Sus scrofa: one gene and its partner. The protein of the gene in region 2 purifies or fractionates together with the protein of the main gene of each other region. This does not show direct contact. Links are inferred from orthologs where the notes say so. Each region holds a gene or a part of one and is shown on either strand. Other genes may lie near its edges.

Region 1 (16,454 bases), on a different chromosome or scaffold from region 2:
GTTAACATGTGCTGGTTAATTTAATCATCATGGCAGCTCTATGAGATAGATAATATTGTTATCCTATTTTAGTTGTGGAAATAGGCACAGAGAAGTTAAGGATCTTGCACAAATGCAAGATCATGCAGATGGAGTTGAGGTTCCAAGCCAGGCTGAGTGGCTTAGAATTGCCATCTTAGCTACTCTGCTAGTTCATGGCTATTGTCACTCAGGGAAAGCCTGCCTGCAGCCAACAGGTTTACAACTAATTTTCCTTACAGAATTTTTATTGAGAACAGTTAGGAGTGCTTTTCCCCATAATTAAAAACACATTAAAGTGCTACTTCTATTAAAGGAGCTTCCAAAACTTACTAAAATGATGTAACAAAATACCACTTGCCACGTGCTAGAAACTGTACTCAGTTTTACATGTGTATTAAACCATTTTGTCTTCAATCCTCAAAACAATCTCATGAGGTAGGTATTGTTAAGGAAACTCAGGTATAGAGGGGCAAAGTTACTTGCTCAAGGTCACACAAATAAATGGTGGCACTAGGATGCAAATCCAGGTATTCTGGCACTAGAGTCTCAGCTTTCAGCCTCTAAGCTGAGTATCAAAATGCAGAGTATTGGAGTTCCCACTGTGGCACAGCAGAAATGACTCTGACTAGGAACCATGAGGTTTCGGGTTCAATCCCTGGCCTCGCTCAGTGGGTTAAGGATCCGGCGTTGCTGGCAGCTGTGGTGTAGGTCACAGATGCGGCTCAGATCCTGTGTTGCTGTGGCCCTGGCATAGACTGACAGCTACAGCTCCGGTTAGACCCCTAGCCTGGAAACCTCCATATGCTGTAGGAGCGGCCCTAGAAAAAAGACAAAAAAAAAAAAAAAGAACTGTCATGTAAGCATTTCTCATGTATTTTGTTACATCACTCAACTGTCTAATATAAAATGGCTTAACAATTATTTAAGACAAAAGACAAAAAAAAAAAAAAAAAAAAAAAAAGGAGTTACCGTCGTGGCGCAGTGGTTAACGAATCCGATTAGGAACCATGAGGTTGTGGGTTCGGTCCCTGCCCTTGCTCAGTGGGTTAACGATCCGGCGTTGCCGTGAGCTGTGGTGTAGGTTGCAGACGCGGCTCGGATCCAGCGTTGCTGTGGCTCTGGCGTAGGCCGGTGGCTACAGCTCCGATTCAACCCCTAGCCTGGGAACCTCCATATGCCGCGGGAGCGGCCCAAGAAATAGCAACAACAACAAAAGACAAAAGACAAAAAAAAACAAAAAAACAAAAAAACGATTATTTGTACTTTAATTCCAATTTTCTTTATATCAAAATCAGCAACATTTTCCTTAAATGTTTTTTTAAACAAGGGCTTACTAAAGTAAACATGGAAATATTTTCATTTTCTTTTCTGACTATTACCCAAAGTTAGCCCTTGGCAATATGCTAAAAAAGCAACAAAGCATTTTTTTAATAGTTACCTTTCTTATCAGATGTCTACTAAACTTCTAAAGGAACACTTAAAAAAAAATTTTTTTTTTTCTGATTCCAAAGCCTTTTAGCTTCAGTTAAATGGAACAAGTTTAGGCTTATTCTTTAAGTCTAGAAGACTGTTAAGTGAATATTGACCATCACATGTGTGTTCCAGCTATTAAACACTAATGTAAGAGCTGTTCATACCTTTAGAGAAGAGGGCCCAGATCACTAAGATTTGGCTCTATGAATTCTTTTTAGGATAGCAGCTCTTCACAATTCTGAACCTCTTATATCTGAAAAAAATTATTTTGTGTGTCATTTCAGGATTTTCCTCTGGAGACAGCAGAAGCAAAGTATATGTTATAATTGCCTATACAAGCGCTTAAAACCATCCCCCACCGCTCAGCCAATGCAACCTCTAAAGGGCATGTTTTGGAAATATGAGTTTTCTTTTTTCTGCTTTTTAGGGCTGTACCCATGGCATATGGAAGTTCCCAGACCAAAGGTTGAATCGGAGCTACAGCCACGGGCCTACACCATGGCCACAGCAACACAGGATCCCTGACCGACTAAGCCAGGACAGGGATGGAATGCAGCAACCTTGTGGTTACACTGTTGCTGTTTCAAGGTTATACTGTTGCTGTCTTCTTGTAATGATTATACACACCACATTCCCACACTCATCAGGGGACTTCATTGTGTCTCCTGGTGTAATTGCGTCTAAGCACTTACATACTGAAATAGAAATGAATTATATCCACTTATCTACTTTATATTACAATTAAGTTAGTAGTATATACACTTTAATTATGTGTGGAGACATATTTATGAACTTCATTTCAGGATAATAAAGACATATTTTTTTTTGGTCTTTTTGTTTTTTTAGGGCCACATCCGTAGCATTTGGAGATTCCCAGGCTAGGGGTCTAACTGGAGCTGCAGCCGCTGGCCTACGCCACAGCCACACCAGATCCAAGCCTTGTCTGTGACCTACACATGGCAACACTGGATCCTTAACCCAGGAGCGAGGCCAGGGATTGAACCTGAAACCTCATGGTTCCTAGTTGGATTTGTTTCTGCTGCGCCACAACGGGAACTCCAAGGGGACATATTTTTAATAAAAAAGATGTGATGAGTTTGGCCGGTGAGATTTACTTAGATGTCAGCTGTACTACAAGAATGTAACTTACGCAGATGGAAAATATAGCTGAAGATGACAAATGTCTGTTTCCAATAGATTAGTGAAGTAAAGTTTAACACTGTTTTAATCAAATGTTAAGGAAAATCTGTTCAATGCTTAACTTTTGCATTGGAACTCATAAATGTCACAGAGTGTTCTTTTCTGATGAGACAGCATGTACTAAACTTTCAGATGGCTATGCAGATGAGCTGATATCATCCCTGGACGGGTAGGATCAGTGCAGCTTTGTCCCAGTCCCTCCTCCTCTTCTACCCTCAGATGCTGATGTGTAACAGAAACAGAGCTTTGTTAGGTGGTGGGCCTGTGGTTTTGGTATATGGAAAAATCAACTTATTGCCACCATCCTCCACGTTTCATTTACATACCATCGTACTGACTAAAATTACTTAACATTCTTACTATTTCTCTCTTTACTATAAAGCCAAATATTTGGTTCACATTTTACAGACACAAGCTTTTAAAAAGGTCAAAGAGCTGCTAAAATAGTTTACTGCAGAAGAAGCACATTCAAATGGTCAAATGTATCTGTATATTGTAATTAATTCTTTCAGTAAATTGTGAAAAAAGATAAAGCAAAAATTTATAAGAAATTTGGTTGATAAATAGTAGCCAAGGTAAATGCATACAGAATTCTAATTTTATTTTATTATGTTTTTAATATTCTTTTATGTATCTTCATGCCTTAGATTTAAAAATGATTCAGATTGGCAAACTCAGAAATTATGAAGGTGAATGGTTAAGATTTTAAGTTTTTTTTTTTTTCTTTTTAGGGCCACACCTGTAGCATATGGAAGTTCCCAGGCTAGGGGTCCAATTGGAGCTGTAGCCGCTGGCCTACACCACAGCCACAGCAACTCAGGATCTGAGCTGAGTCTGTGACCTATACCATAGCTCATCACAATGCTGGATCCTTAACCCACATAGCAAGGCCAGGGATTGAACATGCATCCTTACGGATACTAGTCATATTCTTAACCAGCTGAGCCACAAGAGGAACTCCCGAAATCTTAATTTTTTAAATACATAAGCAGTAGGCTCTATTAAAGAAAAATTAAAAATGAACTTGTGGTCCATAAATTCTTCTAAGATAACTTCCACTGAATGTGAGTTGGTTTGATAAAATTTAAGTATTTTCTTACAGTTATGTTTCCAGCCAATAAAGTTAAAATTTTATTATCAACGAAAGAGTAAATGAATATTTCTTCAAATTAAGCAAAATCATTCACTCAATAAACAAATTAGTTTATAAATATTAAGCTGAAGGTTGTGCATAAACTTGTAATAAAACAATTCAAATAAGGCAAACAGAATAAATCATTTATTAAAACACTGTGATAACAAACTTTCTGACCCAATGCTATAATGGTAAATATTTCCCCTCATTAATATTCCACTTAAAACAGGTAAATCACAAAACAACATGACCAGAATTGAAAATACTTCTGTCCTTTACCACTCAATGACTGAACAATGATCTAGGTTTTCTTTTTTTTCTTTTTCTTTTCTGCTTTTTAGGGCTTCATTCACACCATATGGAGGTTCCCAGGCTAGGGGTCTAATCAGAGCTACAGCTGCCGGCCTATGCCATAGCCACAGCCACACCAGATCCGAGCTGCGTCTGTGACCTACACCACAGCTCACAGCAATGCCAGATCCTTAACCCACTGAGCATGGCCAGGGATTGAACCCACGACCTTGTGGTTCCTAGTCGGATTTCTTTCCACTGAGCCATGACAGGAACTCCGATCTATGGTTTTCTTGATGAGTCAAAGATAAAGGATGATAAACTCAAAGACAATTGAAATCCTACACACTAAAGGTTAAATTTTATTTACCCTATTCACTGGTCCAAACTTAAAAATTCTCATTATATCAAATAAAGATTTCATGAATCATTTCCTTCCTGCCAAAAATAAATATTAGGAACAGATTAAGGGTAAGAGTCGGGTTTTAAACTGCACTTTATTTGTTACTATAACATTATCTTTCTTAAAAAACTGATCAACCATAAGCATGCAAAAAGTCCACTTCTCAATGGAACTGCTTCCATAGCCCCTTGGATATAAGTAAGTAAACTATAAAGGCTGTTCAATTTGTAGCTCTCTCTTTTATAGTACTTCTAAGCAGTGTGTGAGACACATACCATAGAGGTAGGAAAGACCATTTTTAATAAATTATCTTCTTAATTGTAGAGCATTTCTGAAAACAACACCTCCTCTCCGAAAAAAAACTGAAAAAGACTAAACCATGCCTTTGATGAGTCCCAGGGACCACAGATCCATTGCCTCCTATTAGAAGAATTAGTCCCCTTGGAGAGTTCTAGCCTTGGTAGAGCACTTGATAACAAGAATCCCCAGGGCTCCACACAACTGCATGAAGAATACCTTCCACCGCTCTCATTTGCCGATTCTTTGGACCACCCAGTCCTGCTGGCAGAGAGGGCAGCGATTGTTCTGTTTCACCCACAGGGACATGCAGCAGTTGTGGAAGGAATGATTACATTCTCCCCAGACCACTAAAAGAAGAAGAAGAAAAAAAGAATATCTGACAACATATTTTAATTTAAATTACTGAGCTCAAAATTCTATCTTATTTTATATTGTATAATAATTATGGTTCATAATCTTGAATAAAGGCGGTTAGCTGGTCAAAAGAAGAAATAGAAACTTTCTTAAATCACACTTAAGAAATGAGAGAAGGCACTGTGTTTGGGAACTTTCCATCATTTCAGAATCTGTGGGTGATGCAGTTCCTACATAGCTCCACATGCTGTCCTTCTCAAATTACAAGATTAAAAACTTAAGTTTTCCTTAGATCTCATACCATCTCAGTCATACACTGACCTCAGAGACATTTTGGGCTTTATTTTATTGAAAAATGTCTTCCTGATTTTTATTCACCAAGATATAACGAATTTTAAATGTTTTCAGTTCACAGTAGGCTATTTTAAACAGAGAAAAAAACCACCCATAATCTGGAACACAATCTCAAACATGGGCTTTGTTTGCTCCTTGCTTGACCAACTGAGCTATAACAGAACAATGAAAGAAACTGGAAAAAAAGAAAAAGAAAAAGAAAAAATCCTTATGCAAATTGGCTGTAGGGGTAGGAAGCAAGGGGGACTCATTTTAGGTCTTTTGGGAGGAAGAAACAGGGTTTGGTCAAAATTACACAAATCATTAATAAGCTGCAGGTAAGCCATACTAACACAAAGTACAAAGTTAACCTTCTATTCCAGGAAAATCTTTAACACTTTTATATAGCAATCTAGAAGTGATAACCTAAAGAACCTAGACATAAAAACCTTTGAACTACTTAAAATACTTAGCCTAAAACAACTTCTCTAGTAAAATTTAACAGATTTTTATCTGTAAACTACATTCCAAAAAAATCTTGAGAATAGTTTCTACCTTAGTAGAAAAGTTAAAATACTGGATCATAAGAGTATTGAATATTGAAATGCTGTATTAGAATATAATCCTGACTGATAAAAACTGACCTGTAACATACTCAAAATTTAAAAGATATTTTGACAAATTTCTTACTTTATACTATTCTTAATAAAAGGCAATTATTTCTTTTGTGATTATCAAAACGTTTATCACACCTGTGTCTAGAATATATAACCAATTCTTAATTACAAGCAACTAAAGGACTTAAAGATTAATTCCATTTGAGAACTGGCCCTTTGAGAACCAACACACTTTATATTAATAATGGATTACTGCTTTACAGTTTATTTTATGTATTGATAAAGTCAATCTTAATAGCAAATTCAAACATCCCCACTGAGAGAAAATCTTCAGTTGAAAAAGGAAGAGAACAAAATTACAACATACCAACACAATCCTCCTGTTTGTTTTCAGCTTGACATCTAAGACAGGCATCTAAAAGTAAACAAATAGCAATTCTCATTCTGATGCTCTGAATGCAATTTTTAAAACCCATACACTTCAAAGTCAAATAAAGGCCCAAAGGGTTATAGATGAAGATTAAAGGACTCATATTATTACTTTCTCATTCGAACATAACTGCTTAAAGATGAATAAAGTGCAAGGAACTCTACTAATTTACTTATGACCAGGAGCAATTTCACAAGGGTTATTGACCCTCTATTTTTACAAATTCTGATGAAAAGATGTCCTGACAGTGGATGAAACCACCAGAGAAAAATACACCATACTCCACTATATTAGGAGTTGTTACACGCTCACTGGGCATGCTCACACAGATCAATCTCATGGGTAGTATATTTTCCAGACATTCTTTTAAAGAAACCACACATATATACTGGTATTTGTTTACAAATACATAGAAAGTCTAGAAGGATACTCAAGAAACTAATAATAAAGTTTATCTGGGAAGGGATAAAATGGGAAGGACTTTTAATTGTATATTTTCTCAGATTTTTAAATTATGTGACTGTATAAGCTTATGTCTTTTTTTTTTGGCCGCACTGGCAACATATGGAAGTTCCCAAGGCAGGGATCAAATCCAAGCTGCAGCTGTGACCTACAGCTGTGGCAATGCCAGATCCTTAACCCACTGTGCCAGAGTGGGAACTCCTTTATATGCTATATGAAAATTAAATGTAAAAAAACTCCCAAATACCTAGTTCTCTTTTTTTAGTTTTTAAGGAAATGCTCCCTTTACAAATATGTCTGAGGCCAAAGCATTTACCTAATGGTAAAGTATTTTAATAAATTACTTGGGAGTAAATATGAGGAGTGGGAACAAAAGGGCATACTACAAGTTTTCAAAATTCAGTCAGTATTAATTGCTTGATGGAGGTAATAAAGAATATTGTAAGAACCAATTAAATGGATTCATTCACTAGCTGAAAGGAGTCAAACCTGGGTAAAAGGAAGTTTAAACCAACAGAAAAAATAAGTTTTAAACATAAATTGGAGAAAAATAATTCTGTAAAAATAGAAATAGTGGAGTTGAAGCCTGCTTCTCTTCTTACATTAGATTTTGCTCAGGCATTTGTTTGCACCACTCTGCATGGTCTTCCCTTAAAAAACCACACCACCCTGGCCTCTTCAGTGTGGATTACAAACAACCAACATCTCCTGACGACTTCTTCAATTCCACAATTACTGAGTATTTCCTCTGTGCAAAGAGTTATGCCCTCAGGACACCAAAATGATCGAGTCTGGATCCCTGCTCTCACCAGCAAATGGGGAGGTAGAGAGGCAAACAACTACATATAAGGATCATGATATCAGGGTGAAGACAAGGCCCTGATTCTGTGCAATCAGAGAATTACAGTTAATGACCCCAATTGCCTTTTTTACAAATTGGGAAAACAAGGCTCCAAAAGGTTATGTCAAATGTCCCAGTTAACATGCAGCTCTCGGTTTTTTTTTTTTTTTGGTCTTTTTTACCTTTTCTAGGGTTGCTCCCGTGTAATACGGAGGTTCCCAGGCTAGGGGTCTAATCGGAGCTGCAGCCACTGGCCTACACCAGAGCCACAGCAACTCGGGATCCGAGCCGCATCTGTGACCTACACCACAGCTCATAGCAACACTGGATCCTTAACCCATTGAGCAAGGCCAGGGATCGAACCTCATGGTTCCTAGTCAGATTCGTTAACCACTGAGCCACAACGGGAACTCCAGCTCTCGCTCTTTATACCTCTACAGTACTAGCAAACCTATTCCCCTTTTCCTTGTCAGTGCTTGCTCACTGTGTCATTTGCTCCTTTCAGAATGAAGGGGGTGGGGGTGGGGAAGAGTGGAAACAAGGAAGTGTTAACTACATCAGAATGGGTGGACAGGTAAATCTTAGATCAAGAAGTCATAAAAATTTTGAAATAACCTACAATGGAAAAGAATCTGAAAAAAAAAGTGTGTGTGTGTGTGTATTTGAATCACTTTGCTGTACACCTGAAACACTTTTAATCAACTACAATAAATTTTTTTAAAAAAGAAGTCATAACAAATCATTTAGATGTATGAGATGAATTCTGAATTCCAAATATTAAGGAAGTGGGATTAGATAGGCTCTTTGTAGAATCTAAAAATCTCTGAATTATGCTTATAGCTTTGATTTAATTATTTAAAAAAAAAACAACTGACCTAAATGTATAAAAATTCCTAAAGTTTCAGATAAAAGAAAACATTTTTCCTTTGGTGATATTCCTAATATCTAAAACAGCACATTTCTAAGGAGTACAATAACAGTAACACCTTTAAGAATGACGCTACCCTAAGGATTGGCAAGTCTATAAAACTTCCTTCTGCCGTCACCTGACCACTAAGTGGATTTTAACACCTTATAATCAAAATATAGAGGTCTAGTCCAGAATACTTTCCTGAATCCAAAGTACAGCTGTTGTAAATCTGCAACATTAATCCACAGTAGCGGAATACTTGCTATAATTAGAAAGTTAATGTGCCTGTTAAGTCATTTAGAGCCCATACTTTGACCAGGAAGGTTTATTTGCTGCCAAATTTCAACCATTATTTAAAACTCTGCATTTCTATTTACAAATTTAAAATTTTTCCCTGGGGAGAAGAAGAAAATAACCTTTCAGAAAAACCTCTTTTTTTAATCACTTAGGGGATAAAATTTTTAACAAAGTTTTTTCTCATAAAAGAACAAAAATTGTTTGGATAAGTCAAAAATGCCACTCAAAGCAGAAATTATGATTTCAGTTTTTAAGTAAGGAGTAGGGTAAGGGGGCTGTATTGCAGGCCAATAAACAAGGTATTTTTAAAACCTAATATGCAAAACACGTGGATCATGTCTGAAATAAAATTCTTTTAAAAGTAAAAAAATAAATATATGATATCTCATTGTTGTAAATCTGCTTTTAAAATGAGTCCTTATTTTATGAATAAAAAACAAGAAAACATACTACAGAGAGGGTAAATGAAGAAACCTCTTGATTCTGGCAGTTCTGAATTTTCATTCCTCAAGAAGGGAGAGTGATTTTTTTTTTTTTTTTAGATTTTATTTTTTCTTTTATAGTTGATTTGGTTCCTAGTCGGATTCATTTCTGCTGCGCCACGAAGGGAACTCCTTATAGTTGATTTGAGAGCAATTTTTGAGTTATTTTCTCCAAAACTCTGATTTTTCGGTTTAAGATGTAAAAGCTTTCAAACTATAGAAACCTCGGTTTCATTTAAGATGCTCTCACAGTGATTTTAAATGCCCTATTAAAAAAAATAAGGATGCATTTAAACAGCATCTCTTTTTCAAGGTGTTCTGAGATCTTAGAACAGAAACCATATAAAATATAACAGGATGAAGCTGTCCCGAAAGGTTTCACTTGGTCCAATATTTTTAAAAAAATTTATAGAAAGAAGTGACTTATTTGTAAAAGAAAATTCTCCACAAAGGCCTATCAGGACACTGTCTTCTCCAGGAAATGGCATCCTTTGATAGCGTAGGGCCAGGAATGAGATTAAAATTTATGTTTCTGAATAAAGGGCTTAACATTCTTCTTCAAGACAAGCTACTGCCATCTGACCAGTCTTGAATCATCCAAGTTTTAAAGCCAGCAGAACAGTAGCTAATCCCGAAAGGCAACAGCTAGGGACACTTCTTTCCTGCGCCTCTCCGGAACAAGACTAAGAGTCATTACTGTGGAAGATGACTCCAGAGCATCACTCTGGTGTGTGAAAAGAAGCATTAAAACGACCCGCTGACTCAGGGCCTTGACCGTGACCTCTACAGTTTGCTTTTAGAAAAGGGTGGCGAGGTTGGGCCCACAAACCAAAGTGGTGCCTCGCAGCTCCCATCAACTCACCTACTTTTATTGTCTTGACCACACCCATCACTACCTGAAATTACCTTTTTAACTGCCCTGCTTTCCACCTGTTTCGTTCCCCAGACTACCAGTCCCCGTCGCCGGCCGCAGCCCTCCGACTAGCAGCAGCACGGGCGTGGCCCCAGTCTTTCGCTCCCAGGCAGGGCGACCCCGCCCCTATACCTCCAGGAACAGTCTCTCCGAGGCTCGGTGTGTCCCACGGGCCGGAGCTGGGCCCGCGGAGGCCGCAGCACAGCCAGGGTCTCGAGTGCAGCGCTTACCCATCACCTGGACCCTGCAGATGGCGCACGTATCGCACTCCACGTCCCAGCTCCACATGGCCACCGCGTTCCACTTCTTCAGAGAGAACATCTTGTCGCCTCCCGACTTGGTTCCTGAGCTACCGGAGTGAGAGGACAGGGCGCAGGGCTCCTCGCCGTCTTCCACGTCTGCCATGGCGGCGGCGCGAAGCCGGCGGCGGAGACGTTAGGTTGCGGAAGGCGGGCGACTATGGCGGCTCCCTGGGGCCCCTCGCCGGGCCACAGCGCCGCCCGCAGGCTGCGGGCCACCGTGGGGCCTACGACGGAGGCCGCCCGAGACTGGCTGGCGCGTCCCAGTGACGTCACCGCCCCCGCGCCCTGGGCCCGGCCCGCTCCGACTCTTTGGCCAAGAATGGGCGCCGCGCTCAGGAGGGTTGCCGGTGCAGGAAGCAGGTGTTCTGCTTTATGCCTTCGTGACCCTTCTGGCTCTCACAAGTTGTCATATTGATGTACTCCCTTCCTAAATGAAAACGCCATCGGAGCGAGGACGTGACTTGATCACCACCTTCTCCTGGGTATGTGAAAAATGCCTGGCCTCAGGAGGGGTAGTTATTTGTTGAGTGAATGAATGACTATCTTTTAGAAATCTGGTTCAGCCGTTCTCAAACTTTTTGGTCTTGGCACCCCTTTACACTTAAGAATCACTGGAACATTAAAGAACTTTCGGTTTGTAAAATATGTGTACACACAAACACACACTTTTTTTTTAAGAAATACGAAAAAAATTTTAATGTATTCACTTAAAAAATAACCATAGGAGTTCCTGTTGTGGTTAAGCGATGAGGAACCCGACTAGTATCTAGTATACATGAGAATGCAGGTTCAATCCCTGGCCTTGCTCAGTGGATCGGTGTTGTTGTGAGCTGTGGTGTAGGCTGGTAGCTGTATCCGATTCAGCCCCTAGCCTGGGAACTTCCATATGCCACAGGTGTGCCCCCACCCCCCGCCCCCGCAAGGAAAAGCAATAAACCCATTACAAGTAATCATTAGAACAAGGATATCACATATCTTGTAGCTTTTATAAAACTCCACTGTATACTCACAGGAGAAAGTGAAGAGAAATAGCGGTGAATATTGTTATGCAAATACTTTTGACCTTGTTTCCCCTGAAAGGATCCCAGGAACCCCCGGGGACCACACTCTGAGAACCTCTATCTAGTCCAACATCCTCCTTTTATTGATAGGAATGTTGAGGTCCAGAAAAATAAGATAAAGACACACCATTATTCCCTAAAGGTAACTGTTTTGAATCCAGGGTTCTTCTGCATCTAGCCCGGGGTCATATTATTATGTTTTCCCAAGCAAAGCAGATAACATCTCTATTTAAATAAGAAAGCTGTGGTATGGAGAGCCCACGAAGATGCCTGATCACCACTACCACCTAGTGGTGGACACCTGCTGTGTCGGGTTTGGAATTCAGAGCCTCCCACCTTTTCCTACTGGGCCTCATCCCCTCCTCTCCTGATGTCTGGATGGGGGCTAGAAGCTCCAGAAATCTGGCGGAGGAGGCAAGGAAGCATATATGTGTGAAAATATAAATGTGGATACATTTGGGTCACATTTGGCTAGATGCTGATGGAAGAGGTGACGTTTGAACTGGGGGAAGATGGGAGGCATCGGAGGCCCGGAAGTGGGTGGAGAAAGCAAACCTCTGCAAGGCTGTCAGGTTGAACAGAGCAGTAGTAGTGGTGGCAGATGTAAAGTTGACCCCACTAAGTTTATGAGCCAGACAAAAATGCCTGTAAACAAACCCAGATGAACCATAAAGGACACACATTTTACTCACATTAAGCTACCACACATCTGACTAGAGATGCTATAAATGCCAGATAGTTAATTTAAAAAAGAAGGCTAGAACCAGATGAGGATAAAATGCCCCCAGTTGGGGGGAACTGGGCAGTTTGAAAGAGAAAAGGAGGGAACTCAGATGAAAGGCTAGAGGATGATTAAGAATGAGAAATGGTAGGAGTTCCCTCTCATGGCTCAGTGGGTTAAGGACCTGGCATTGTCACTGCTCTGGCTCAGGTTACAGCTGTAGTATGTTCAATCCCTGTCCCTTCTGCATGCCCTGGGTGTGGCCAAAAAAGAAGGGGACAAGGAATGGTACATGCTTATGCCTCATCTGAACCTCTTCACTCTGTTCCTGGCTTATTGTGTCCTGACTTCTTGTCTGGCCTCCCCATTCAATCTAAAGTGCCTGTTTAATCTGCTTAGATCCCCCTTTCCACCTGACACTAGCCTGCTCAAAATGTTCCATGGCTCTCCATTATCATCAGAACAAAATCTAAATGTCCCAGCTGGTCCTTTAAATCCTGCCACAGTATGGCCCCAACCTACCTTTCTAATGTTATCTCCAAGCACTCCTCTCTGAGACCCTCATCAGATTAGTTGATTCAGCCATCCAAAGACACCTTAGACTCTTCTCTTCCCCCGACTCCATTTAACATCTCTGGAAGTGGTCAGAACCTCCCTCTGTCTGCTCTAACTACATTGCGTTTGCTGTGAGGAAAACTAATTTTCGTGTCCTTACTGACCACTCTTTGCTACTATTTATGCATTCCTCCCAGAAAAATCATAGCGCTTATTGTGTTTCTTCCACTCTTTTGGCACTAGGTCACATAACAACCAAACAGTGCTGTTACTGATGATTATCAAACAATTTTGAGTTTTTACAAATTGATAGCTCATAAGTGATAAGACCTTTAAAATAGGAAAATGAGTATTCAGTGGGAAAAAAAGCAAGCACTGTCAATAGAGTCTCCAGAAATTGCTCTGTATGTACTAACAAACACAGAGCACATCAACTCACTTGAATTTTTAAAATTGTGGTAAAAATACACATAACATAAAATTTACCATCCTAACAATTTTAAAGTGTAGAATTCAGTAGTATCAAGCACATTCACATTGTTATCAACCAATTTCCAGAGCTTTTTCACCTTCCAAAACTGGAAGTATACCCATTAAACAACTCTCCATCTCCCTCTTCTCCCTCCAGCCACCATGCTCCTTTCTGTTTCTGAGTTTGACTACTCTAAATATCTCATATAATTGGAATTGTACAATATCTGTCTTTTTTGTGACTGGTTTACTTCACATAGCATAAAGTCCTCCAGGTTCTTTCATGCTGTATGTAGCATGTGTCAGAATTTCCTTACTTTTTAAGGCTAAGTGATATTCTTTTGTGTGTGTGTGTGTGTTCATTCATCGATAGATCCATAGGTTGCCTCCACCATTTGATTATTATAAATAACGCTTTTATGAACATGGGTGTACAATTATCTCTTCATGATCCTGCTTTCAATTCTTTCTGATATAAACCCAGAAGTGAAATTGCTGATTCATGTTGTATCAATTCATTTTTAATTTTTTTTTTTTTTTTGTCTTTTTGCCTTTTCTAGGGCCGCTCCAGCGGCATGTGGAGGTTCCCAGGCTAGGGGTCTAATAGGAGCTGCGGCCGCTGGCCTATGCCAGAGCCACAGCAATGTGGGATCCGAGCCGAGTCTGTGACCTACACCACAGCTCACGGCAACGCCAGATCCTTAACCCACTGGGCGAGGGCAGGGATAGAACCCTCAACCTCATGGTTCCTAGTCGGATTCATTAACCACTGCGCTACAATGGGAACTCCCTTAGTTCATTTTTAATATGAAAAATTCACATATACTCTTATCTGGGCTTTTCTTTATCTTTAATAGTATGACTAGGACATCTCTCCATATAAGCACTTCCATATCCACATTATTCTTCCTAATGGCTGTGTGGTAGTTTTCCACCATGTGTATTTCCTGTGGTTTATGTCCTGGAGAACCCTTTGAGACATGTAGCTGTTTCCACTGTGCAATGAACAATGCTGCAGTGAACATCTTTATACACATTTCTTTGCATATGTGTGAGGTATATCTGTAAAATAAATTTCTAGAAGTAGAATGTTTGAGTCAAGGCTATGTATTTTTCATTTTGATAGACATTGCCAAAAGACCCCTAAATAAGCACACGGATTTTACACTTCTACCCAGTGGATGTCAGTGGGAAATCTTTAAAAAAGTTTGTTTTGTTTTGGTTTTTGAGCAAGAACAATTTCTCAGGAGGGCTCACACATTGGATATATAAGTTCTGGAGACTTGTTAAATTGATGTCACTACTCTGTAGGCTTCCTTACCCTAAGGATTTATACTATTTCAACTCATGCTCTAATGTTTTTTACTTTTAATGTATGAGGATCTTATCTTCCTTGTTAGATGCTAATCTGCAAGAGTGGACACAATTTTCTGTACCCAACCTCACCTCCTCAGTTAGTTGGGTTCCACTAACTTCCTAGCACTTGTTACATTTTATATGTTGGATGAATGACAGGGTTTGTTTTTATAACTTCAAAATGAAGTCTTAAGTCCTCAGCCACCAGAACTGCTGCAGTGACAATGCCAGATCTTTAACCTGCTCTACCACAAGGGAACTCTGATAGGTACCATTCTTATCTGTATCTTACAGAGGAGAAGTTTAGGTACCTGGAGGTTAACTGACTTGCTCAAGGTCACCCGGAAAGCAGCAGGATTCCACAGAGAATTCTGGTTCATCTAATTGCCTAGCCCATGCTTTTTATCCCTGTACTGTATACAATTTACCTAATTCAATTTATCATCTATGCATTGATCAGGATACTGCTTCCATTTCCTTTGGAGCTATTGAAATCTTACAGAGTGTGGAGGGTAGAGTGATCAGAATTTTCCTCATTTGGGGAAGATCCCCATTGTTAGGGTTGTTGCCTTTTAGAAAGTGGTTATTTTCCCCCAAAATCCCTATTTTTCCCAACCATAGATATATTTATGAAAGACAAGTCTTTCTTTCTTAAAGATCATGACTTCCTTCAAACTATAAATTTCACACGCACAAGAGAACAAGCTTCAGAGAAGAATCCCACTTATTTTTACCAAGGCTTATTTATAAAGTCAACATTTTAGAAAATGACAAGCATGGTAGGACTAACACTACTTTGAACTTTCATTAAGGAGTCTTATCAAATCTTACAACTTGAAAGGGGCTTGGTTATAGTGAAAAATATTATTATAGAACAAACAATATCTTTCCAGGCATGTGTGGTAGGTCATGGAAATAGATAAAATCCATATGGCTATATGGCATCCATATTCAGTTTCTAGCCTGTGAAAAAATGAACAAGAGATAATAAATAGAAAAAAATGAAAAAGGAAGTTCAACTACATAGAGAGTAAGCACATGTAAATCATTACCCCTTAAGATGTAGAACAGCTTCATAAAGAGCTTAGGTAAATTCATTGTTTTAGATCCACAAATAGGCTAATTGGAGCCAGGATTTTGTGTGTATGTTGTGGTTTGAAGAGAAGAGGTAGAGTTTGCACTATTCTTTGAGAGAACTATGTTATTCTGTTACCGCTCGTCCCTTGGTCATCATCCATCAGTGTGGAATGATGCTTTAGGGGAGTGTTACCTAGAACCCAAATGTTCCTGATTTGATCAAGTGCAAAATGTGCTACTCAGGGCACCATCTATCCTAGCAGAGTGCCCAGACTCCATAGAGCACCCCCTGGTGGCTTCTACTTACCAGCACAGATATCTGAGAGCATACCTTTTTCCTCTTTTTATGGGTAGTACTTGATTTCTTGCTATTTTCCCAAATAGACATGAAGGTATCTGAAGAGATCTGGGGGGTTACTGTAACTTTTAAAACTGGAAGTTTACCTGAG
Region 2 (16,354 bases):
CCCCAGCCTGGGCCTGTGGCGGAAGAGCTCGGCTTCCCCCAGCGAGCTGGCCCACTTCTGCAAGGATGCGGAGGGCCCAGGGCAGAAAGTGTACAGACCCGTAGTTCTGAAGCCCATCCCCACCAAGCCAGCCGTGCCCCCGCCCATCTTCAATGTCTTTGGCTACCTCTAGCCAGGCTGGGAGGGCCTCGGCCCCCCACTCGTGGCCTGCAGGGGGTGTTGGGGACCCCAGGGGGCTCTCCTTGTGAGGAGTGGGCTGGGCAGTGGTGTGGCCTCTTGAGAACCTTCCCTTTGTGTGTGTGGGGGAGGGAGAGGGCAGGATCGGGCCAGGGGCTTCTCAGGCTGTTGCCAAGCCAGCCCTTGCAACCTTGGAGCGGTGGGGCTGGGCTCAGCAGACCCCTCCCCAAACGGAGCCCGCCACATCGCCCACGTGCCTGTGCAGACCTCAGGCGGCGGGGCACTGCCCTGGCCCGCCAGCCACCCCAGAAGCCAGAGTGACCCATCTGTTCATCTGCCACCCCCTGTGTAAGCCAACCTCAGTTCTGTTCTTCTTGTTGTTTGTAAATATTAAGAAGGTTAAAAGAATAAAGACGTTTCTTTTGCAGTTTGCACATCTTGGGTTCCTGAGGTTGACTGGTCCCCAGGTCTAGGAAATGCTGGCCGTGTCCAGGTGGAGGGCCGTCACAGAGGTTGCGGGGGAGGCCAGCGTGGCCCAGAGACCTCGGGGATCTGTGGGAACCAGCCCTGGGGCCAACGGCTCAACTCGCAGGATGGATGGGGAAGGAAGGGGAGGGCGGGTGGGACAATGCTCTGAGTCCCTGGCGGAGAACAGAGGCTGGGGGAGGCCGCGATCCTCAGAGGGTCCAGAATGCTCAGCAGGATGGGGGGCACTGGTACCAGCGGAGGTGGAGCGGTCCCCCTGGCCCTGCTCTGGGATGTGGGGCCGGGCCCTTCCTCTCGGAGCCTCTTGGCCGCACCAGCAGGGTGAGGAGTGGCATGAGAGTGGTGCCCTCTGTGGTACCTTCCACTCCACTCGCAGCCTCAGAGAAGAGGCTGTGCCAAGGCAGTTGTGTCTGACCCTGGTCAGAGGGAACGGGCAGGCCAAACAGGAGCTGGGCCCCCTGTGGACAAAATAACTGCTGGTTTGACCAAATTCGTCCCTTTTTGGATTGTTATGATCATTATACAACCACAGAGGTGATAAATTCATTTGAGTAATAAAAAAAAGGAAAAAAATAAGCTATAATGGAAAAAAAAAATAAAATCAACCTAGTCTGTGGTTCTATGTCCACAGGCATAATAACAACAAGAACGATCTCTAGCTAATTAGATCCCTAGGTTGCCGGCCCATGTCTCTCTCTCTGGGCCTGATGCAACAACCCTGGCGCACACCAGGCACCCTGTCAATGGGATGAGGGCCTCGGTGGCGAGGAGTGGCCCTCGGTTTGGCCCCAGTAGTGCCCAGACCAGCCAAGCCGCTGGAAGGGCCTCCCCCGCACACTGCACACTGGTCCGGGACCTGCTCTGCTGTGTGGGGCGCAGCTCCGTGGCTGAGCGCGTGCAGGCCTGGCCTGGGTGCCGAGCTGCTCATTTCATCAAATCGCGGTTCTCACGACTCAGGGGGAGACGGGGCCAGCCTTGTTGGGGACCACAGCGCCCAAATCAGCATCCGGATGTTGAGCAAGTTAATCCCCGTTCTGTGCCTCAGTTTCCTGATCTGCAAAGCAGGGATCCAGGTCAAGGGCAGCAAACGGATGCACGCATCACTACTGAATCCAAGGCAAGTACCATCTACTGGTCACAGACTCTCTCCTTTGGGGCCCAGATAGGGCCTCAGAATCTTCCGAACACAAGGTCCCAGATTTAGCCCTGCTACCCTGCCTGTTTGGAGGGCAGCCACGGCAGAGCCGGGGCTTGCTCACTGGGAAGCTGGTGGCTTTCTGGTGGTTTATGTCTGATGATCTCAGCCACGGAGCTTCAGAGCAGGGAGGGTGTTCTGAGCAACTGCCTGGCTCATGTGATGATCCTTAGCCGGGACCTCGCCTCCTAAGAACCGCCAGGGAGCCTGGAGGAGCATGCTCTCCTCTCCCACATTCCTGCAAAAGCCCTTCTGGATGCATCTGACGAGGCTCAGCCCCTCCACACTGGACAGCAGGGGGTTAAAAGCTCTAATCCCGGCCCTGCCACCTACTAGCTGTGTGACCTTGGCAAGTCACTTAACCTCTCTGTGCCAGGACATCCTTATCTGAAAAATGTGATTGAAAACAGACCTGCCACATGGGTAGCTGTGGGGAGGTAAGTGCCAGACACTTCACGACACAAGGGATGAAAAGCTGGACGAACCCAAAGCCACTTCTCCTAGTTATCTGGCTGTGTCAGGAGGTCCTTCCGCAATGACATTTCAGTGAAGTTTATAGATGACTAGAGAGCCCGTGGGAACAGGGGCCCGGACCATCCAACCACCCTCACCCTCTAGAGAAGAGCTCAGCTCTGGGAGGCATGATTTCTTGGGGTGCTGCCCAAGCGTACCACGCCTGGGCCCCACCACCCCACTGGGGTTCAACCTTTCCCAGGGGACACCTGGCAGTGCCTTAATTCAAACTCTGGGAGCCTTGTCTGGAAGCAGATGTCTTTACTAGGGTGCAACTCAACAGAAGCGCCCAGCACCACGAGTGCCCATGTGGAAGCCAGTTGGGAAAAAACACAACTTGGAAAACTTCAGTTATTAAAAAAAAAAAAAAAAAAAAAAAAAAAAAAAAAAAAAGCAGCCGCAGTAGCAGCAGCAGACCCCCCCCCCAACCCTCCAGAAATGAACTGTGTTGGTTCAACCTGAAACCCAGGAACTCACTTCCCACCCTCAGGCTCAGCCCAGCACTGGGTCAAACGTGCTCCTACTGGTGAATGCAACCACTTTCAGGACCTTTGGTGTTTGGTTGATACTGTCTAGACACCTCTGAGGCTGAGATCCTGCCAGGCCGGGCCAGGGGGCACAGGAGGGCGCTGGGGCTAGGGAAGGGGTTGCTGCAGAGGGCGGTGGCTGTGAAGTCCTCTTGACAGCAGAGGTGGTCAAGAAAGGTAACCACTGGCACGGCCTGAGCACCGACCAGAGAACCCACCCCCGGCAGCGGTGGACCATTAACCTGTTAGCTGTCGGCTTAAATGGAGGTGGGGGCGGGGACCTGAGAAGGCCAAGGCTAAGCCAGGCCCTGAAGGGGAGGAGGGGCCCTGACCAGTGGCTGTGACCAACTGGTACGGACGTCCATCAATGGTCTAAGAACCCAATGGTGCCTCTGAGGCCTGGGGACCCCACATCCTACAGATACATGGTGGCGATGCTGAATGCAGGGGCTGAGCCTCCCTCCCCGCGCCTCCCACCTACCTCCGCAAGCCTCAGACCAGCGTCCCCATCCTGCCCAGTACCTGTGGCCACTGGCTGTCAGGACTCTCTAGGATATAAGGTGACCTGAGGATGCTATAGTCTACCTGACCCCAAATGCACCTACACATCTTTCTGCTCTGCCTGTCATTGAACTGCCACCCGCTCTGGTTCCCGGGTCAGGGTTTTCCCCTGACTATGTGCTCAGCCCTCCCCGGCCCCTTCCTCTGGGCCCCAGGGCTGAGCATCCCCAGTCAGGAGGAGGCGGGTTTCCTTCAGAAGTTCTGCAGCAAGACAGCCTGGGGCCCTGGAACCCCAAGGACTTGCTCTGTGTGTCCAGGAAAGCCCCCTCCCCTCTCTGGGCCTGTCTGCCCACCTGTACCTGGAGGGAGTAACCACAACTCAGCCAAGTCCCCTCTGACCTGTGGCTGGAAGATGCTACTCAGCGAACTTGTCCTCTTCGGGAGGACACTGGGACTTATGGTCCCATGGGAAGCCAGTGTGTCAGAGCCCCAAGGCCACCAGGGGCCACAGCCATGGGCATCCAAGGCCCCAGAGGAGCAAGCCAATGGCAGAGCCAGGTCTGGGACCATTGCTCCAACAACCCACCCAGCTGCTGGCTTTCCAAGGGCCGGAAACCACATCTGCTTAAACCTCTACCAGATCCTGGGGTGGGACTGAAGCAGGCTCTCAGCAAGGTCACCTGCTCAGTTGTCACCTGAGTGGCGCCGGGGTCGCCAGTGGCTTTAATCATGTTGGGGCAGACAGTGCCTCTGAGTCACTGTGGCTCCGTGGAAATAGGGAGGTGTCAGCGAGCAGGACTCGGACACAGAAAATGCGCTCTCTCTGAGCTGAGCCTGCACCCCATCAAATGGGCTGGCAGCTCCTGCTTGGCCCCCTTCAGAGCCACATGAGAACGAAGGACGCCACAGGGGGCACAGGGATTCCTCACACATGTGGTGCCTTTGCACCAGCTGACCACAGCCATGACTCCAGCGCTGGCTCACAGTAGCCAGTATGCCGATGCCTTCCCCCCCAGAAGCTCAGCTTTGCAGCAGAACAGGTGAGCAGGATGCGAAGATGTTGCCAGGGGACGCGGGTGTAAGACAAGCCCACGTGCCAGGAGACTTGTAGGCTCTGAGACCCTGTTTGGGATGAAGCTCTTGTTTCCATGGTGACTGAACCAGCAGAGAAAAAGCAACCTTGGCTGCTCTGAGCACAGGGCGGAAAGCTGCCCCCTCTCCTCCGACTGTCGGGTCTCTTCTGGTTAACAACCGACATGCTCTCTTGGGTCTTTCAGAAGCCAAAGCATCCCAAACAGGGGTCTGGGTGCCCTGTCCCAGCCCCTGCCCCACCCCCACTCCTGCCAGGCGCAGGGCTGAGGACCTGCGCCCCTGGAGGGGTCTGGTGAAAGGGACTTCACTGGGCAGGGCGCCATCTGTGCGACATTTATTGTACCTAAGGAAGCCCTCTGGGCTGAGGTCTCCCCACCCCACCCCCTGGGCCACGGCTTTGGGGAGAAAGCTCAGAGTCAAGAGGAGAGTTTCACAGAGCAAAGAGGGAGGGACATGGGGGCCCTGCAGTGAGGTTGTCCAGGAAAGTTCTCCAGCCACAGCTCAGAGTTGGGGCCAGGGCTTCCTGGCTGGCTCTGCTCTCCCCAGACCACCCTAAGTTCTGCCCTGGCCCCGGGGCCCCGGCCCCAGGAATGCAGCTTTCTGCAATTCCCGATGGCAGAGACGCCCTGGGATCTCATTCATATGAGAATTAATGTGGGTTTTCTCCTCCTTGATACATCTGTCTTCGCTCTGGGCAAAGCACTGGCCCAGAGACTGGTGAGGTCACAGCAGCAGCCCCAGCTGAGAGGGAGGCAGCCCCCGGCCTCATCTGTCACCAGGTGCCCTTAGCTTTGGGGACACCGCTGTCCTGAGACTCAGTGGAACCGTCGGAGGAGCCGCTCCTTCCCGCGTGGCCCGGTTACTGGGTGTTCTCGTACTTCAGGTATCTTATCAGCCTGCCTGGCAGTGGCAATGTGTCCAGGAGTTTTATACGGTATTTCCAATGGCCTTTCGAACCTGCAGCCGGCAGAGGTGAGCCAGAGGTCTCGGAGGTTCTGGAAAAGGAGAGAAAGAGAGGTGCCGGTGGGTTGTCTGCACCTGTGACCCCTGGCTCGTGGGAGGTCCCCTGCCCATGTGGCTGACAAAGAGAGGGGGCGCCTGGACTCCTGCCGTGCTCCATAACCCCGGGCCCTGCCAACTGGAAAGATGTCAGCCCACATTCATCTACACAGCCCAGGGAAGTAGCAGGGTGGGTTCCAAACCCGCTTCACAGGGGAGGACTTGGCAAGGATCACACCTGGGACTAGAGCTGGCATTTCCCTTGTCTCACGCTCCTTCCTCTGTCAGCCCAGACTGGCCCCTCCCCACAGCCTTAGCAAATGCATCAGAGGGTTCCACCTCTGAAATGCCCCCAAGGGTGGTATTCAGCTCTGGGCTCCGGGTGGGACAGGGGATGGGGACTGGGCAGCTCCCCGCAGGTCCCAGAATCCCACCGGGCTGCCTCCTCCAGGATGCCCTCTGGGATGCCTCATACAGTGGGAGCTAAGAACAGAGCCTGAGGCATCTAGTAATGGCATAATTTATTTCAGCCCTGGAAACAGGTGGGTGTTTTGTTGAATCAAGAATGCCAGCATTCGTTCAACAACCAGATGCTGACACCTTTGCTGTGCCATCTTGGGCCAGAGATGCAGGGGCGCCCCACTCAGGGACTTTGGGGAAAGGTTTCCACACTAGATAGCGCTTCTAAGCAGGGTCTTGATGGGTGGGTAGGACTATGCCAGGTGAGGAAGGGAGTCAGGGGCATTCCAAACAGGGGAAGTGGCAGTGCCAAGCCAAGGCCACTGTCACTCAGGAAGATGGCGCTGCAGAGAGGCCAGGCGGCTGCAGCCCTGCCTCACTACATGCCTCAGCACTGCATTTCTTTTCCTTTCTCTTCTTTTGTTGTCTTTTTAGGGGGGCACATGCAGCAGAGGGAGGTTCCCAGGCTGGGGGTCCAATCAGATCTACAGCCTCCAGCCTACGCCACAGCCATAGCGATGCAGGTACCAAGTCACATCTGTGATCTACACCACAGTTCACAGCAACGCCAGATCCTTAACCCACTGAGCGAGGCCAGGGATCGAACCCGCATCCTCATAGATGCTAGTTGGGTTTGTTAACTTCTTAGCCACGCCAAGAACTCCCCATCACTGCATTTCTGACACTTCGCTGCCCTCTGATCTCACTCAGGGCAGAATCTGTCCTCTGGGAAGCTCACCCTCTTCGGCAGCTGGGTGCAGACAGAACATGAGCGGAGGGTGGCAAAGGGCCATTGGTGGGCAGAGGGCGCTGGGTACCAGGCTGGCGTTCCGGCTGGCTTTGGAGTCTCTGGGATAATGACACTAACATCCCAGCATTAACCGAAGGAGCAAACAGGAAAGGGTTTTGCAGATGGAGGGTGGGCTTTAAAGTAACCAAAACACGTACAGGTGAGAACTAGTTGTTCTTCCTGTTAACTGTTTATAGCACACTAACAGGTTCTGCATTCTTTTTTCCAGGGACGGTTTAGTTGTAAATTACCCTCCCCAGGCAGGGCCAGAAGGAGGGGATAGGGAGGGGTGGGGTTGACATCGAAGCATGGACCATTCTACCTTCTAGTGGCCAGCATCACAGTGACAGCATCCGAAGATTCATTAATTCAATGACTGTTTCTTGAGCGTCTAGAGCTCCCGTGAGTGGGCAACTCAATGCCACCCTCCCTGTCACCAGCCCAGTAACTTTATCAAGGGCCTCAACTCAAGGGCTCCCAAGTTGGGCACATGGAAAATGCTACAGCAGGTTTGGGTTCACAGGGGAGGAATGTGGCAAGTCAGAGTCAGGGCACTGGGCTGTTTGGCACTTGGACGAGCAATGAGGCAGCCTTCCCACCTGCGGATGGCAGTGGCAGACCTGGGGATGGCAGCGGCAGTGATGGGACCATGATAAGCTTCTGCGGGTCAGCCTCTGTGATACATGATTGACTAGCATTTGACCAGGGATGGGACAGTGCCCCTCAGAGCCAAAGGAAGCCCTGGGGTCGCTAGAGCTCCTCAGACAGGCATCTCTGCCCAGGATCAGCTGCGGCGCCCAGCTCAACTGCAGACGCCTCACCTGCCCAGGTGAGCTCCATAATTCCTTAGAGGGATTCTTGGCCTGACTTAGCCAGGCTGCCCCTCCGACACTGCATGCAGCTGCATGTGGCCAAACCCCACCTCACTGTGCCAGGCACCGCCCCCCCCCCTCCTGCAAACACCCTGGGCTGGCAGAGCTGGGATGGAGCTGGGTGATGAGCCTGCCCAAACTGCTCTGTTCAGACAAAGATGCTGAGGCCCAGATGAAGGGTCCTGCTCACAGTCACCCAGCAAGCCCCTGGTTCCATAGCTCTGGGGGCCTGCCTCCTGGACCAGTGCTGCTCCAGGGGTGGCCTGTGAAGCCGCAGCACTGACTCTGCCTGGAAGCATGTGTGAAATGCAGACTCTTAGGCTCCGCCCAAATCTGCCAAGTTAGACGCTGCTTTTTTTCTTTTTATGACTACACTGGAAGCTCCCAGCCTAGGAGTCTAATTGGAGCTGCAGCTGCCAGCCTACCCCACAGCCATGGCAGCAACGGATCCAAGCCACATCTGTGACCTATGCCACACAGTGCAGTAATGCCGGATCCTTAAGCCACCGAGGCCAGGGATGGAACGCGCATCCTCACGGAGACGACGTCTGGTCCTTAACCCACTGAGCCACAATGGGAACTCCTAGACCCTGCATTTTATTTATTTTAGTTTTTAAGTTGGGGGCGCACCTGCGCCATGTGGAAGTTCTTGAGCCCAGGTCAAACCCACGCCACGGCAGTGACCCAAGCTGTAGACTCTGCATTTTAAACCAGATGCTCAGGTGCTGCCGAGGAACTGTGCAGTGTGAGATGCCCTAGCAGATCACCGCCTCCTCTCCCCACCACACGGCTTCCCAGCGGCCCACAAACCTGGGCACCCTCCTCGAAAGGTCCCGATACCCCTCAGGGAGCTGGAACTGTTTAAAACATCCTGGAAAGACTTAGCGAAAGGGAGGTCAGGGAGGGTCCACCCTAGGTTTGAATCCCAGCTCTGCCACTAACGAGCGGGGAGACATCTGCCCAAGTGACAGTCTGTCTGAGGGTTCGTCTCCCCAGTTACACAACAGGGAACCATCGTGACACCGTGTGTGACACACAGCACCGAGCCTGGCGTGAGAAAGGTGCTCATCAAAGGTCAGCCACATGTCACATGTCCGGCGTCGGAGCCCTGGGTCCGGCAGGGTGCCCTGCCCGCAGCAGCCGCAGCAGCAGCCCTACCTGCCTTCTCCTTGATGACAGCCCAGTCCTCGAAGCTGTCGATGTGCTCCTTCAGCCGCGAGCAGAGCTGCACGTTGCCCACGTAGTCCAGGAGGACGTCGATGATGGGCCCCGCCCAGCGGCTCACCTCCGGGGCAGACAGGATCTCGCAGAACTGGAAGAGAACAGCCCCAGCGCTGGGACCCCCTGGACCAAGGGTGCCGCCCCAGCAAGCTCCTCCCACAGCTGGGGACCTGGGAGGGGGAGGGCAGACCCCGCGCACGCTTGGGGTAGAATCCACGTCTCCAAGGCACACCCTTCTCTCCAAAACACAGGCTTCTGCTGCCAAAAGTGGGAGGTGGGCAACTGGGGCAGGGCACACACCCTCCCTAAGCCTCAACCTTCTTGTCTGGAAAAGGGGCACATAAGGTGCCCCGTTAGCACAGCAGGGAGCACGTCAGTCACACAGAAAGCGGGCCTATCATACCAACTTCAAGGGGTTTTATGAGAATTAAGGTAATATAAACAGAAACTTCTTTGAACACAGTAGACGGCCCATGAATGATGGCCATCAGCCATTCTAAGTATCTCCAAGAGAGGGTGTTTTTGTTTGTTTTGTTTGTTTAGCTTTTTTAGGGCGCATGAGCAGGCAGCCAGGCTACGCCACAGCCACAGCAACACCAGATCCAAGCCGTGTCTGCAACCTACACCACAGCTCACAGCAACGCTGGATCCTTAACCAGTGGGTTAACACTGGAGTGAGGCCAAGGATTGAACCCACAATCCTCATGGATACTAGTCAGATTCGTTTTCGCTGTGCTCATTGGGAACTTCCTAGAGAGGGTGTTTTAACTTTCTTTTCATTTTACATTCTGACTTTTTTTTTTTTGCATTTTAGGGCCGAACCTGCAGCATGTGGAGGTTCCCAGGCTAGGGGTCAAATTAGAGCTACAGCTGCCAGCCTATGCCCCAGCCACAGCAACGCAGAGTCCGAGCCGCATCTGAGACCTACACCACAGCTCGTGGCAACGCTGGATCCTTAATCCACTGGGCGAGGCTAGGGATCAAACCTGCAACCTCATGGTTCCTAGTGAGATTTGTCTCCACTGCACCACGAAGGGAACTCCCATAATCTGACTTTTTAGGTCATCACATGGACAGCCACTGTCCCTGAATCATTTACTTCCTGCATCTCATCTCACTTCATGCAAGCCTGCTCTCGCATGACTCCACTCCAATTCTGGTCATTCAACATCATATTCCAGGGGTAGGTTTGCTGGGGATGATGAACCCCTGAGTGTTGCACAGTTCCCCACTGATCCCCTGCAGCAGAACCCCCCCAACCCCCCCCTCCAAAAAACCCTGATTTGATTGTTCATGTGAACCACTGAGTCCTGCTGCCTCTAAAACCTGCAGGAACCACTAGGTTCCTCTGCCTTCAATGAGCGCCAAGTACCAGTTTACACTCCCTCCAAAGCGCATTAACCATTGCTCCACCCTGCTTCTAAACCCTATTAACCACCCTCTGCTGCTGCTTTCAAAGTGTAGTCCACACTGCCCGCGGAACGGGTGAGCCATGGGGCCACCCGCCTCCGGGGCGCTCTGGCCCTGGCTGCACTCCCCCAGGCGCGCCCACCTACCTGGACCACGCCGGGCGGCTTATCCGTGGCGGGCGTGTCATTGAACCTGTTGGAGGGCGGCGGGGGAGGCGGGTGCGGGCCGTTGCCGTATAGGCACGAGAAGCAGGGCTCGCCGTTGCAGCCGAGGTCCATGAGGAATTTGAGCAGCGACAGGCACTTCATGGCGAACATGATGGTGGCGGGGAAGGCGGTGGGGTGCGTGGTGATGTAGGCGTCGATGTTGGCGCCGTGGTCCAGCAGCAGCTGCATGGTGCGCAGGCAGCCGTGGCGGATGGCCACCAGTAGGGGGTTGATGACATCGCGGTTGGGGTCGGCGCCGGCGAGCAGCAGCAGCTCGGTGGCATACACGTTGTTGTTGACCACCGCGAAGTAGAGCGCGGAACTGCGCCGGTCCTCGTAGAGGCGCGCGCGCTCGGGTGCCAGCGGCGCGTTCACGTCGAAGCGCGCGTTCAACAGAGCCTCGAGCACCTCGTCGTTGTTGCGTTCGGCCGCCAGGTGCAGCGGGCTGATGCCGCTACGGCGCACGCGCGTGCGGCTGGTCACCGGCAGCAGCATCTGCACGATCCTGAGGGCGGGCGGGCACGCGCGGGTCAAGGCGGGGCCAGCACGTTGGGGTGGGGCCTGCCGGCAGGGGGCGCTGGAGGGGGGCCAGGCTCCGCCACTCACAGCTACGGCGGCGGGGGGAGGCGCTGGCTCACCAGCAGGGGGCGCCGTGGAGACAGCCGTTCTCGCAGTTACCACTTGGGGGCAGAATGAGTGGGCTTTACACATACGGAAACGGACGCTCAGAGAACGTCTACCAACCACCTTCTCAAAAACACATAACTGGTGATGAGTGGAGCTGGGCTTCAAACCCAGATCCCTTAGTCTCCAAAGTCTGAATCCTTAAAAACCTCAGCCAAACTGGACTGTGGTTTTAAGAGTCGCTTGCTGACTTGTTTCAGGCTAAAGAGTGTCAGCCATTCCAGCTCACTTATCTGGGGGGACAGAGCAGAAGCCCCCCAACCTGCAGTGGAACACATGGCGAAGCTTGGAGCTGCCCCTGCCCCTGCCCTGCCCAGGGGAAGGGGAAGGGGAGGGGCAGAGACAGCCGTGTCCAAGGGCTCCCTATGTGCCAGGGGACCTCTGAGGACCTTACAAACACGTTTGTTTTAATCTTTACGACAACCCAGAAAGTATGTCTCGTCATTCCCATTTTTTTTTTCTGATAAAAAATCAAATGCTCAGGGAAGTTAGGGAACTTGCCCAGGCCATACATCGGGAGAAAAAAAAAAAAAAAAAAAAAAAAACGGATTTATACTCTCCTCTGACTCCAGGACTGAACCATCTTGCTGTCCTGGAGTCCTGGTGAAGCTACCAAGTCCTGCGGGACAGGAGGGAACAAATGTATCTGGACCCAACCACTCCTGCCCCAGGCCCCAGTCAGCCCTCAGTAACCACGAGGTCCCCTCCCCCGTCCTGTGAGTCTCAGTGCCTCCTGGCCCGAAGGCTGACACTAGCCCAGGCTCTCTGTCCTGTCTGGGAGGCGGAGGCTGCAGATTCTCACCAGCCCTGACTCTGCTCTGTTCTCAGCTCTCAACCTGCATTCTCCCCACGGCCCTGTGAGGTAGATATAGTGTTACCCTCATTTCCAGGTGAGGAAACAGAAGCCCAGAGAGGGCATGTGACTTGCCCAAGGATACACAGCCAGTAGTTGATGGAGCCAGGATTTGAACCCGGGTAGGCTGATTCCCCCGAGGGTGAGGGCCACACTCTACACCACTCCCCTACTTCTTGTGCAGCAGTCAGGTGACAGCGACGAGTCATGGGGTTTCGCATTCTTCACACGGTGTTCTCTTGGCTGCCCCACTTTGCCTTTCACTGGGGCCCTGTGGAGTGGCTTCTTTTTAACGGAGGGCGCCAGAGAGAGGAAGTGACTAATCAAAGGCCAAAAACCAGTTCTGGGGCTTTGACCCCAGGACCCTTGACCCCTGTGTCTGCTTTCTGTCCCTAGACCCGGCCACCTGCCAAGCTGTTGCCACTGATGTGATTCCAGACCCTAATCCACTCAGTCCCTGCTGACAGGTGACCTCATGGCCCCGGGTGGGCTCCAGGGAGGTGGCCATGGCAGGGCAAATGGGTGCCACTAGGCCTGTTCCCACGCCTCTCTGCCTCTTGGCACTTGGGATTCTGGGGCTTCTGGCTTCCTGGAAATCTGATGCCAGGGACCTCCCGTTAGGATCTCAGTGGAAAGCATTATTATGGTTAGTGACGCTGTGTTTGCCTAAAATCGGCCTCCACAACCTCCAAAGGAAATTCACACACCCCGGGGGGGCTAATTGCCTCCTAATTTCTATTTGTGCAGCCCAGGAGGCCTGACCTCGCTCTGGAGAGGTGTTGGTCAAAGGCAGGGCTGGGGCCTCACCCTGGACCGCAGCCATCGCCAACAAATGCTCCGTAACAGCCGTAACATATGCCCAAGCACGGGAAAAACAGCGAGAGTGACTGCCCGGGGCCGCTGGCCAGATGGGCTGGTATCACTGGCAGGTCCCAGCTGGTCCCAGCAGTCCCCTGCCGAACCAAGGGAAGGAAAGTGGCAGAAATGTGGGAACGTGACTGGATGCTGCCAAGAGTCCCAGAGGCACTGTCTTCATAACGCGATAAAATCACCTAATTGCTATACGCGTCTGTAGCAGTGGGACAATGGCCAGGGCCTGGAGGAGCGTGTCCAGCCTTCCATTTTAAAGGGGGTGAAATGGAGACCTGGGTGTGGGGTGGGAAAGAGGGAGGTGGACTGGAGGTGGATGGCAAAGCTGGGGCAGAATGCCAGTGTCCAGGAGTTCCCTGGTGGCGCATGGGTTAAGGATCTGGTGGTGTCGCTGCAGCAGCTCGGGTCGCTGCTGTGGCGCAGGTCCAATCCCTGGCCTGGAAATGTCCACATGCCATGGGCACAATAAAAAAAAAAAAAAAAAATGCTGGTGTCCAGAATATCCAAGGCCAAGTCTTTCCATGGTGCCCCAGTACTCCCAGCCCTGAATGCCGGTGGCCCCACTGAATGTCATCATTTCTCTCCCCAGCCCACTTGGTGGGATAGTGAGCAGGAGGGTCAGGGGAAGACCCCACAAGAGAGGCTGGGACCTTCCCACTTCTTCCACCGCAGGCCTGGGACCACGGGTGCTCAAAGTGCACCCTAAGGAGAGAACAAAGGTACCCCTTGCTTGGTAGAAGCTTTGGTGTCTGGGAGGCCCTGTCCCCCTCTGCTCCTTTCCCCAGCAGGGGCTGCACCCACCAGCTCAGGCTCTGAGAGCAGAGCAGACCCAGCTTAGGGCTGTTCCAAGGATGCCCAGAGCAGCAGCTCAACCTTGGACCCCAGTCCCAGGGCCCCTGCCTCATTCCTAGGACCCACCAGTAACTGAATCCCATCCTCCCTGTCCCAGGCCATCCTTGCTCCGGGTCCTGGGTCCCCACCCCAGACTTCAGTCTCCCAAAGGCTGCTACCCTGCCTGGCTGCCTGTTTCTGGCTCTGGTGTCCCGACCCCCAGCCCAGCGGCTGGGACTAGGGAAGAGAGCTTTGAGCCAAAACAGGCTGTCCTTAGCAGCGTGGGGTCCCACATGGACCAGGGTTACACCACCAGCTCTGCGTCTCAGGGCTGGGCCATCTCAGGCAAGTCACTGAACCTCTCTGAATCACACCTATACCAGAGGGGCAATGAATCACAGCAATGGTGATGCCACTGGTGATAGCTACCCTTTACTGAGCCCCTGTCCATTGTCGTGAGTGTTCACCCTCCTAAATTATAATTACCGTAATACCGCTGAGCGCTCGCTATCGGCCAGGTGCTGTTCAAAATGCTTTACACATTTACCTCATTTAATCCTGGAAATGATCCCATCAGCAAGTACTTCATCTCATGTTCCCTCCATAATAAGCCGGCAAAGTGGGATCACCATGCCCAGGTTGCAAGACACAGTTTGATACCGCCTTTCAGTGAGGCTGCTTCTGAAGACAGAGTGAATCTTGCATGTTCAGCTGCTTAGCATGGAGCTGGCCCTCCCTACACGGTGCTGTTGGAGCCTTAACAGCCTCAATGATTGCATCTCCCTGACCCTGCTGCACCAAACGCCGAGGTTTTTTGGCTCCTCAGGTCACTTTGTCAGCATTCAGTGCAAATTTCACTGTGGACTTGACTGTCCAAAGGGAACCAGCCCCACAAATGGCCTTGCTCCCAATACCAGGGGCAGTACTATGTCTGTGTGTGTGTGTGTGTGTGTGTGTGTGTGCGCGCCTGCGTGTTTTGGGGGTGAGGGGATTACCTCATTTTTTTCAGCCAGTAAAGGGCACTGACATCCTTCTGGGGGAACTTCCCCTGGGGCCAGAATAGGTGAGCAGTTCCTCCCTAAAGGGGGAAGAACAGGCCCCAGCGGCTGGCAGCTCTGTGCATGAAGAAGGGAGCCTGGGGCGTCCTGGGCCCCGAGAGGGAAATCAGAGCTTGCTGACGATGCAAACTGCTTGCTCTCAATCCCTGCACCCCTCAGAATTCCTGAGGGAACCCTGACATGCAGATTCCTCGGCTCTGCCATCAGGCTCTGATTCAGCAGGTCTGGGGAGGAGCCCAGGAGTCTGAGGTGGGGGAGCCTCGCATCCCGCCTTGAGGGATTTTCCTGCAAACTTTCCTCATTTTCCTCCAGCAACGGCCAACGCGAAACCAGTTTCCTGGAGTGGATGCAGTTGGATAAAGGGGCTCATCCTCCTATTTTCCGGGAGGACCTGAGCTCTGAGCCTCAATTTCCCTTTCAATTAATGGGGATACAAACCTGCTTGTGAAGGTGCCACATAAAATGCATTTTAATTTAATGTATTAAATGCTCTTTGTTCTTTTCCCAGAAAGAGTTTTCAGTGGCTTGCAAAGGAAATATAAATTAGAAGTAAAAGAGATCCAAAAAAAAGTAAAGGAGAAAGAATATTTAAAAACGAGGGGGTCCGAAGTAAGGCCCCAAACGCAGGTCAGTGTTATACGGTGTCAGCCACAAATTCGACCCTAAGATACTGGTTCTCTCCCGGAATGTCTGGTAAAATCATCTGGGCAGCTTTTAGAAATTCTGCAGCCCCAGCCCCAACCCAGATTACTTACAGCGAAATCTCTGAGGGTGGGGCCCAAGCCTCAAGGTTTTAAGAGTTCCCTTGGGGTTCTGCTGTGTAGCCAAGGTTGAGAACCACGGTTTCAGTGCTACTCTAAATTCAGGTTAAAGGAATCTTGCAGTATCTGCTTTTGTCTAATACAGTTTCCTTCCTTCCTTTTCCTTCTGGCCTCAGCATGCATCAGCTTGATAAGGGATCCCAGTTCCCAGACCAGGGATTAAACACAGGCTGCAGCAGTGAAAGTGCCAAATCCTAACCCTTTGACCACCAGGGAACTCCCATTTATTTTTTCAAACAGTTTCTTAATAACTCTATCTTTGGAGTTGAGTTTCAGTTATCTTTGCTAAACTGGAAATGGAAAATAAAATGTGTCTTGGAGATGCCTAAGCTTTTGGGGTCCTGGGGACTCCATTCTCAGCCATGTCCAAAGGTCATGCCCTCTAGTTAAATGTGCCGAAGGGAGGGCACCACCCGGCAAACCCTGAGACCAGCTGCAGGAGCAGCTGCAGGAGCAGGCAGGGTGTCCTGGCAGGTGGCTGAGTGCAGAAGGTCCAGGGAATGTCACATTAAGTCCCCAAGCAGCCAATAGAGGACAGTGTGGAGTGGGTCGCAGGCCACATGTCCAGGGAGTGAACGCAGCACTGGGGACTTGCCTGGCTGTGGGCTCTGCCAGGTGGCAAAAGCTGCTGGGAACCTGGCTTTAACCCTTTGTAGGGCAGCCCTCAAACAGCGGAGGGCCCCTCTTGGTCTTAGGGTACATAGGGATATGGTGTCTGAGACCTGAGGGTGAATAAACAGGGAAAGGCTTCAGGAGCCAGCAGGAGAATTGGGGGGACATAAACCATTC

The links.
Region 1: the proteins of ASB2 (region 2) and RNF7 purify together in Homo sapiens (affinity purification with western blotting; 3 studies listed by BioGRID and IntAct, with this or other methods). This does not show direct contact. The link is inferred for Sus scrofa from reciprocal best matches to the Homo sapiens genes ASB2 and RNF7.

The regions. Positions count from the first base shown.
Region 1 is NC_010455.5:82,543,033-82,559,486, reverse strand, and holds RNF7 (RING-box protein 2), read right to left. Parts: upstream 11,013-16,454; 5' UTR 10,868-11,012; coding exon 10,693-10,867; intron 6,543-10,692; coding exon 6,495-6,542; intron 5,171-6,494; coding exon 5,052-5,170; 3' UTR 4,599-5,051; downstream 1-4,598. Other genes in the region: uncharacterized protein LOC100515582, read right to left, coding at 15,880-15,891, 16,337-16,449. UniProt on the Homo sapiens protein: Catalytic component of multiple cullin-5-RING E3 ubiquitin-protein ligase complexes (ECS complexes), which mediate the ubiquitination and subsequent proteasomal degradation of target proteins.
Region 2 is NC_010449.5:115,206,082-115,222,435, forward strand, and holds the end of ASB2 (ankyrin repeat and SOCS box protein 2), read right to left. Parts: intron 10,954-16,354; coding exon 10,389-10,953; intron 8,924-10,388; coding exon 8,770-8,923; intron 5,487-8,769; coding exon 5,419-5,486; 3' UTR 4,804-5,418; downstream 1-4,803. UniProt on the Homo sapiens protein: Substrate-recognition component of a SCF-like ECS (Elongin-Cullin-SOCS-box protein) E3 ubiquitin-protein ligase complex which mediates the ubiquitination and subsequent proteasomal degradation of target proteins.